Linked DNA regions of Callithrix jacchus. The protein of the gene in region 1 purifies or fractionates together with the protein of each later gene. This does not show direct contact. Links are inferred from orthologs where the notes say so. Each region holds a gene or a part of one and is shown on either strand. Other genes may lie near its edges. The genes, in order: TIMM50 and HDAC6.

Evidence for each region.
Region 2: the proteins of TIMM50 (region 1) and HDAC6 purify together in Homo sapiens (affinity purification with mass spectrometry; 3 studies listed by BioGRID and IntAct, counting the BioPlex papers as one, with this or other methods). This does not show direct contact. The link is inferred for Callithrix jacchus from reciprocal best matches to the Homo sapiens genes TIMM50 and HDAC6.

What each region holds. Positions count from the first base shown.
Region 1 is NC_133523.1:34,962,121-34,966,714, forward strand, and holds the start of TIMM50 (mitochondrial import inner membrane translocase subunit TIM50), read left to right. Parts: upstream 1-1,707; 5' UTR 1,708-1,723; coding exon 1,724-1,831; intron 1,832-2,777; coding exon 2,778-2,928; intron 2,929-3,457; coding exon 3,458-3,489; intron 3,490-3,707; coding exon 3,708-3,729; intron 3,730-4,594. UniProt on the Homo sapiens protein: Essential component of the TIM23 complex, a complex that mediates the translocation of transit peptide-containing proteins across the mitochondrial inner membrane. Has some phosphatase activity in vitro; however such activity may not be relevant in vivo.
Region 2 is NC_133524.1:49,398,891-49,402,696, forward strand, and holds part of HDAC6 (protein deacetylase HDAC6), read left to right. Parts: intron 1-292; coding exon 293-361; intron 362-472; coding exon 473-665; intron 666-2,090; coding exon 2,091-2,240; intron 2,241-3,806.

The DNA.
Region 1 (4,594 bases):
CTCTGTTGCCCAGGCAACCTGAACCTCCTGGGCTCAAGCAATCCTCTTGCCTCAGCCTCCCAAGTAGCTGGGACTACAGGCATGCTTCACCACACCTGGATAACTTTTTAATTTTTATATTTTTTATAGAGATGTGTCTCACTGTATTGCTTAGGCTGGTCTTGAACTCCTGGCTTCAAGTGATACTCCTGCCTTGGCCTCCCAAAGTGCTGCAATTACACGTGTGAGCTACAGTGCTCAGCGGTCCATTCTCTTGAGCCCTGACAGCAGTGACAGCAGGATTGCTGTAGCTTTTCCAATGACGTGGGGCAGGAGTGGGTGCAATCTTAAAGAGACTGGAGCTTAGTACCCAGAACCTGCTTCCCTTCCTCATTAGATATTCCTGTCTTTTTACAAATGTAAATGTATTATAAAACATTTCATCAATAAGATGAAACCCCGTCTCTACTAAAAATACAAAAATTAGCCGGGCATGGTGGCGTGCGCCTGTAGTCCCAGCTACTCGGGAGGCTGAGGCAGGAGAATTGCTTGAACCCAGGAGGCGGAGGTTGCGGTGAGCCGAGATCGAGCCATTGCACTCCAGCCTGGGTAACAAGAGCGAAACTCCGTCTCAAAAAAAGAAAAAACAAAACATTTAAGGCCGAGCGTGATGGCTCACACCTGTAATCTCAGCAGTTTGAGAGGCCGAGGTGGGGCAGATTATTTGAGTTGAGTTTGAGACTATACTGACCAACAGGGTGATACCCTGTCTCTACTAAAAATACAAAAAAATTGGCCGGGTATGGTGGCAGGCTCCTGTAGTCCAGCTACTTGGGAGGCCGAGGCAGGAGAATTTTTGTATTTTTTAGTAGAGATGGGGTTTCACCATGTTAGCCAGGCTGGTCTGGAACTCCTGACCTCAGGTGATCCACCCGCTTCGGCCTCCCAAAGTGCTGGGATTACAGGCGTGAGCCCCTGCGCAGCCCCTGCGCCAGCCTTAATTTTAATTTTTATTTATTTTGAGAGAGCCTCCTGTTGCCCAGGCTGGAGTGCAGTGCCGCAATCTAGGCTCCTTGCAACCTCTGCCTCTCCTGCCTCAGCCTCCCCAGTAGGTGGGACTAGAGGGGCGCCCCATAACTCCTGGCTAATTTTTATTTTTTTAGTAGAGACGGGGATTTCGTCATGTTGGCCAGGCTGGTCTTGAACTCCTGACCTCAGATGATCCGCTGCCTTGGCCTCCCAAAGTGCTGGGGTTACAGGTGTGAGCCACCGCGCCTGGCCAGAAGGTTTTGAGGACTGGCTTTTCAGGTCGCTTTCTAAGCCCCAGTTTCCATTTTTGACAATTGGGAGGCGAAGGCCGATGCCCTTACACGTGAGACAAGCGACCTGACTCCTGACTTTTTTTGGGACAAATCAGGCAGCCAATGATTCCCTTCATTATGGCCTCTGCTTTACCTCTAGGCAATCTGACCACTTCCCTTGCTGCATCCTTTGCCTCGGCGGTGGCGCTCCGCACGGCCCAAGTTGGGCGTGGTCCAGATGACTTTGGATCCCAGTTGGTGCCCCCAGGGACATCAAACAGAATCGTTGGGGCAAACGTGCCTGCGGCAATCCGCCCGAAGCCTTTGGTCTATTTCGGGCTTCCGTCCGCCCGCCCCTCCTCTGCGTTCCCATTGGCTGTAGCTCCGGCCCGGGGCGGGAATAAAGGGAGCAAGTGGGTGGGGCCGCGTGGCGTCAGCGCAAGATGGCGACCTCGGTAGCTCTGTTATCGCGCTTGCGGAGCGGGCTCCGGCTAGGCTTGCGGGGACTGTGCACGAGGTTGGCGACGCCGCCCCCCCGGGCTCCGGATCAGGTGAGCGGAACGAGGGTGGCGCTCTGAATGTGGGGTCCCCTCCCTGGAGTTACGGACATATCGCCGCGGCTTGGAGGTTCTGGGACGCCGCACCTCAGGGTGCTGAATAAAACGTCGCTTGGGTTTTGGGCCCCTTCCCAGCCTCCTGGGTGAATAGCACTTGCTCCCCTGGCCTGGAGGCTGGGGGCCCAGGTGTGTCCTCCAGATCCCACCTCCCACCCACGTGGGCGCCGGAGGAGGAGGGGGTTACCTGTTTCCCATCTCAGTGACCACTCAGGTGATTATTTGAGCAGGAGGGGAGTGGGACGCTGGAGTCCCAGCCTGGCCTTGGGAGTTATTTTTACTCCCAAGGTGGTGGTGGTGGTGGTGAGGGTGGTGAGGTAGACGTTTGGATTTCCAATTCGACCTGCCTCCATGTTGTCAGAGACCCAGCCATTCTGACCTCCAAGTCTATCACTTCTGTGTCCTAGTTCCCCAAGCCCCAGACAAGTGATTGCCTCTCGCCGCCTCTGCTCCCATCCCTTACCCTGTACTCTGCTACCTTTTAGCCCCAAGCAGCCAGATGTCATAACTCCCGGTCCTGTCTGCCCCTTCCCGCCCTCCCACCCCTCCCCCTTGTGCCCTGCGTTCCTTCACATCCCAGAGTTTAGGCCTTCCCATCCCTTATTCTCCCTGATCTGCTTTTCCGGGCTCCACACCCTCTAGTCGTGTTGTCTGCAGGATCCTGTGCACCTGGCCTGTTGGCTCTTAAAACTCTTGGCATCCTGGCGCTGGACAGTCTGGTTTTGACCCTCTGAGCAGCCCCACTTCCTGACTGCCCCTCCAGGGACACAGACGTCCAGGCTCTGTGGGTGTCTGCCTCTTGACTCCTGAACTTGATTCTTCTTGGACTGGAATGCTGGAACGATCAGCTCTTCTCTCTTGACCTCCCCTTTCTCAACCGCAGGTCGCTGAGATCGGGAGCCGCGGGGGCACTCAGGCACAGGGGCCACAGCAGCAGCCGGGCTCAGAGGGTCCCAGCTATGCCAAAAAAGTTGCTCTCTGGCTTGCTGGACTGCTTGGAGCTGGTGGGACCGTGAGCGTCGTCTATATCTTTGGTGAGGGACATATCGCTGCCCCCTAGTTTTATTCCTTGCCTCCCTCGTCCGCTGTGGAACCTCTCACTCTTACCCACTCAAACCTCTCCATCTTAATTCCCTGGCTCTCCTCCATAGGGCAGCCAAGTAGGACACCTACCTTTGAAAACCAGGGAATTCTTCTCCCTTCTACCTCTTAAGGTTCTAGTCTTTCTAGTTGGTTCCTGTACCAGGATAGAGGAAAGAGGGGAAGATGGGGAAGGATAGGCGTAGATCAGCTTCCTAAACTTTGTCTTTCCTCAGCACCCAAAAATCCAGCCTTCCCACTAGTTCCTTTATCCCTCAGACTCAAGAGACACAGACCCAGCCCCCTTTCTCTCAAAGACCCAGGAATCTTGGCTCCCAGCCCCCTCCTGGCTTGAATCCAGAAGGCTGTGCCTCTAACTCTCTTCCCTCAGATCCAGGAGTCCAGGCCTCCTATCCCACTCCTCCCTCAGGACCTAGGAGACTGCACCCCAATTCCTCATATTCATCCTGGTTTCCCTTGCAGGAAACAACTCTGTGGACGAAAAAGGTGCCAAGGTGAGGGGAAAAGAGACTGAGGCCTTGCCAGGAGTCCTAGCCTGTGGGTGAGAGGGGTCCCCTTTGGTTTGTTGAGGCTCATTGCTGGTCTGGAGTGAGCCTTTCTTTCCTAAGGACCTTTGCTTATTCCTCTTGGGGTCCTGGAGATTCCTTTTATGGGTGTGATGAGGTTCTGCCTCTGACATCCTAAACCTTCCATTTTTCTCTCTACCTCCCAGATTCCTGATGAATTCGACAATGGTGAGTAAACAAGCACAGATTCTGGAGTCCCCGACCCTCTCAGCTCTGTCATTTGTAAGGATGTGTCTTTCCCCATCTGGTGTCTCTGGCCCCTCCTCCTTCCATTGGGGAGGTTGGGGAGCCAGCAGCTGGATAGCTTTGTGGGGAGGGACTTTACAAAGCCCAAGCCCACTTCCCTGGCCCCTCAGCCCTGAGCAGATGGTCAGGGACAGATGGGGGTGGGGAGCCTTGGGTGGGAGGGCCTGGGGACACAGGGTGGCCTATCTCCAGACACGTGGGTTCCTGTGCCTTAGACTGAGCATCTGCAGCTCCCAACTCTTTACCCAACCCCCCCAAGCCCCTACTCCATTAGTCTCATTTTCAAAACAATGCCTCCTTCCTCCCACCCCATCTGGTTAACCAGCTTTTGGTGCTGAAATTTCTGACAAATTGGATAGTAGAGTAGTTGTCAGTCTTGTCAAATGAAATTGGTGGATCCAGAAAGCCACCTGTTTATGTGGGGACATTTGCAAACAGTCATGTTAATACAGTCTTTCACACTGGGCAGGTGAGTGAGTGCTGGTTTGACTGGGCAGATTAGAATCTTGCTAGCTTCAACAAATCACTATGCTGATTTAACTTGGGCAGGAAAACCTGGAGGTTTAAAGTGTATATGTTTACTAGTCTAACTGCTTTCGATATTGTGGGGTTTTTTTGTTTTTGTTTTTGTTTTTGACAGAGTCTTGCTCTGTCACCCAGGCTGGAGTGCAGTGGCGCAATTTTGGCTCACCGCAACCTCCACCTCCCAGGTTCGTGTTTCTCGTGCCTCAGCCTCCTGAGTAGCAGGGACTACAGGTCCATACCACCACGTCCAGCTAATTTTTTT
Region 2 (3,806 bases), on another chromosome or scaffold:
AGCATTAGCTGCCCGAGGTCTAGGTCCAGTTCCCTAGCAATGACCCAAAAGAGCCCAAGGTCCAGTTCCCTAGCAATGACCCAAAAGAGCCCAAGGTCCAGCCCCAAGCACTTGCTCGGGTCTACGAGACAGCCCTTGGGACCCCAGGATCATACTTTTCTCCTTAACTGACAGGACCCAGTGTCCTGCCACTCCACACTAAATATCTCTGCAGACCCCAGGGGTCTAGCCCAGCCCTCTTCCACGGGGTGAGTATCCTAGGTTACTGAGCTTCTGCCTCCTTCCTACCCAGGATCCTGATCGTGGATTGGGATGTCCACCATGGTAATGGAACTCAGCACATGTTTGAGGATGACCCCAGGTAAGATGCTGCAGTCAGGGGCTGTGGTGTGGTCAGGGAGATGGGTGAGCACCTCAGGGGTATTGGAGCCCCTAACCAGCTATGGCCCCCTTCCCACCCCCTCCCCGGCAGTGTACTCTATGTGTCCCTGCACCGCTACGATCATGGCACCTTCTTCCCCATGGGAGATGAGGGTGCCAGCAGCCAGATCGGCCGGGCTGCAGGCACAGGCTTCACCGTCAACGTGGCATGGAATGGGCCCCGCATAGGTGATGCTGACTACCTAGCTGCCTGGCATCGCCTGGTGCTTCCTATTGCCTACGAGGTAAAGCTCAGTGTAGATCTCAGGATGTATGTGATACACCTGTGCAGGTGGCAGCCTGGGCCTGCCTCCTCAGCATGTGTGCGTTTGACTGCCAGGTGGCGGATCATATGAGACAGCCCAAGGGTGACTAATGAGGCTACTGGGGCAGTTGATGACTGTGATTACCTTGTGTGTTTGACCACACAGGTGGCTGTACAGGACTGCCTTCTCTGTGTGACACTGTGTGAGTGACTGTCTTGCCTGTGTGTGTGAGGGCCTTCTGGCTATGCAGCAGTGGCCTGTGTCCTGGCTGGATCTGTGTTGTATATGTGTGCTATCACAAGTTCTTTAGTATGTGTGTGCAATTCTGTGCAAGTGGGTATTTCTCACCACCTTTTCTCTGTGCGATGGATGTGATATTGTATGTCACTAAATGCAGCCATCTCTATGACAGCCTGTATGGGACCCTCTGGATGTGGAGGGCTGTGTGTGACAGCAGTCACTGTCTGACTGTCTGCCCTGGCTGTTTGTGTATGTGTCTCTGACTGGGAGGTAGCTGCCTTCCCTCTGTGTGAGCTGTGGGGCGGGGGGGTCAGTGGCTTGTGTATGGCTGACCCTGGGAGGGAGGGGAAGGAGGTGTGAGCACTGCTCTGTCACCCTGGGTGCCAGTGTGCATCTTTGGATCTGCACGTGCATCTGACTATGCATGGGTGGCCAGGACAGCCTTCTGTGTGTATACAACTGTATGTGCAAGTGACCAGCTCTTGTGGACACACCAGAGTGCATGTGGCTGTTGTGGCTGTGTGGTGATGGCATGTGTATGATTGTGACTGCAGGATGGCTGTGGGTTATTGTCCTTTTTAAGAAACTATGTATGTATGTGTGCGCATGACTAGTGCAGATATGTAGTACTGTTCTATATGGGACTGTCTGTGTGGGATTACACGTGGCTTTGTGTGACCATCTTCTCTGTGTGTGGTGCTTGCGTTGCCATCTTCTGTTATGGAAGTGTGTGAGCACCCCTCTTTGGCACTATGTACATAAAACCCTGTATCTTGTGTATGTGTGTCCCACGTTTGACCCTGGGGTGTGTGTGTGAGGACATGTCTCTGTCTCTCCATTTCTCATGTCAGTCTCTTGACATCTGAGTCTGGTCTCATGACTCTGTCTCATGTCCCCATCTGTCCATTTTTGCTGTCTCCATGTTTCTAGATCTGCATCTGTTTCTTCTATCTCTGAGTCTATATTTCTCTTCTTCCTCTCTTCATTTTCAGTCTCTGCTTTTGCATCTCCCAGTCTTCAGGCCCCGTGTCTCCATCTCTCTGATTTGCATCTCCATGTCTTCATTTGTCCTTTTCTCCATCCATGTCTCCTTGTCACCACCACTTACTGCCTACCAAAAGCCCTTACCCTCATGCTTATACGTCTCTTCTCTCCCTGCCTCAGTTTAATCCAGAACTGGTGCTGGTCTCAGCTGGCTTTGACGCTGCACGGGGGGACCCGCTGGGGGGCTGCCAGATATCACCTGAGGGTTATGCCCACCTCACCCACCTGCTGATGGGCCTTGCCAGTGGCCGCATTATCCTTATCCTAGAGGTAACTCTCTCTTGGTAACCTTTTCCCACAGTGGGAGGGTAGTTTGGGAATCTTGGCACTATCATTCAGTATAGTTTCCTAAAATCTCCTTTAAGTGTCCCTGCCTGGAATTGTGGGCACACACTGGGTAGTAATTGGGTAATAATAATAAGAATAACAGCAACATTAACAGCTTTGAGTGCTCACTGTGTGCAAAGCACTCTTCTGAGCACTTCATGTATCTTATTCATTTAGTTACTTGGCAAAGCAGCCTTATGAGGTAGGGTTAGCTTTTCCCCTCTCAAGATCAGGGAAACTGAGGCACAAAGAGGCGTGATGACTAGATGACTGAAAGAAATGTGCCTGAGATGGCACATTTACTGATGGCAGAACCAGGACTTGAACCGATGCAGCGTGGCTCCAGGGTTTGTGTTTTTTACTGTTACCTGAACTGACTCTAACAAGTTCCTGGGACAAAGAAAATTCACTGACCTTTGTAAGTGACTCGGTATCCCCATGCCCTGTGCCTCAGTTTCCTCATCTTTATGAGGCTGGCTAATCATGGAGGAGTGCCTGGCATATAGTAAATGCTGGATCTGGTAGATCTGTTTTTTTTTTTTTAATTGAGACAGAGTCTCGCTCTGTCACCCAGGCTGGAGTGCAATGGCGCAATCTGAACTTACTGCAGCCTCCACCTTCCAGGTTCAAATGATCCTCCCACCTCAGCCTCCTGAGTAGCTGGGATTACAGATACCCATCACCACGCCTGGCTGATTTTTGTATTTTTAGTAGAGATGGGGTTTCACCATGTTGGCCAGTCTGGTCTTGAGCTCCTGGCCTCAAGAAATCCACCCACCTCAGCCTCACGGAGTGCTAGAATTACAAGTGTGAGCCACCACACCTAGCCCCTGGTTACTGTTATGCATTGTTCAGATACTAACCCGCTCAGCAACCTTCTGTGCTGTTATTTTCACTACTTTACAGATGAGGAAAATAAATCACAGAGAAATTAAGTGGCTTGCAAAAAGTCCCACTTACCATGTGCCCAGTACTGTTTGTGACAGGGCATGGTGGGAGTTAAAAACACAGATGACTCCATCAGAGAGCCAAAGTTCAAATCCCAGTGCTGCCTCTACAGCTGTTAGGACCTCAGAAAAGTCATCTAACCACTCCGAGCCTCAGTTTTATTTATTTATTTATTTTTTTGAGATGGAGTCTCGCTCTGTCACCCAGGCTGCAGTGCAGTAGTGCAATGTCAGCTCACTGCAACCTCCACCTCCCTGGTTCAAGCAACTCCCCTGCCTCAGCCTCCGGAGTAGCTGGGATTACAGGTGCACACCACCACGCCCGGCTAAGTTTTTTGTATTTTCAGTAGAGACAGGGTTTCACCATGTTGGCCAGGCTGGTCTCGAACTCCTGACCTTAGGCAATCTGCCCTCCTCAGCCTCCCAAAGTGCTGGGATTACAGGCGTAAGCCACTGCGCCCAGCCTTTTGCCTCAGTTTGTCTGTAAAAAGAATAGCAACTGGGATTCCTGTAGAGTGTAAAGAAAGTCAGAACAGGAGTCCATATGGAGAGAGAGTCCGTT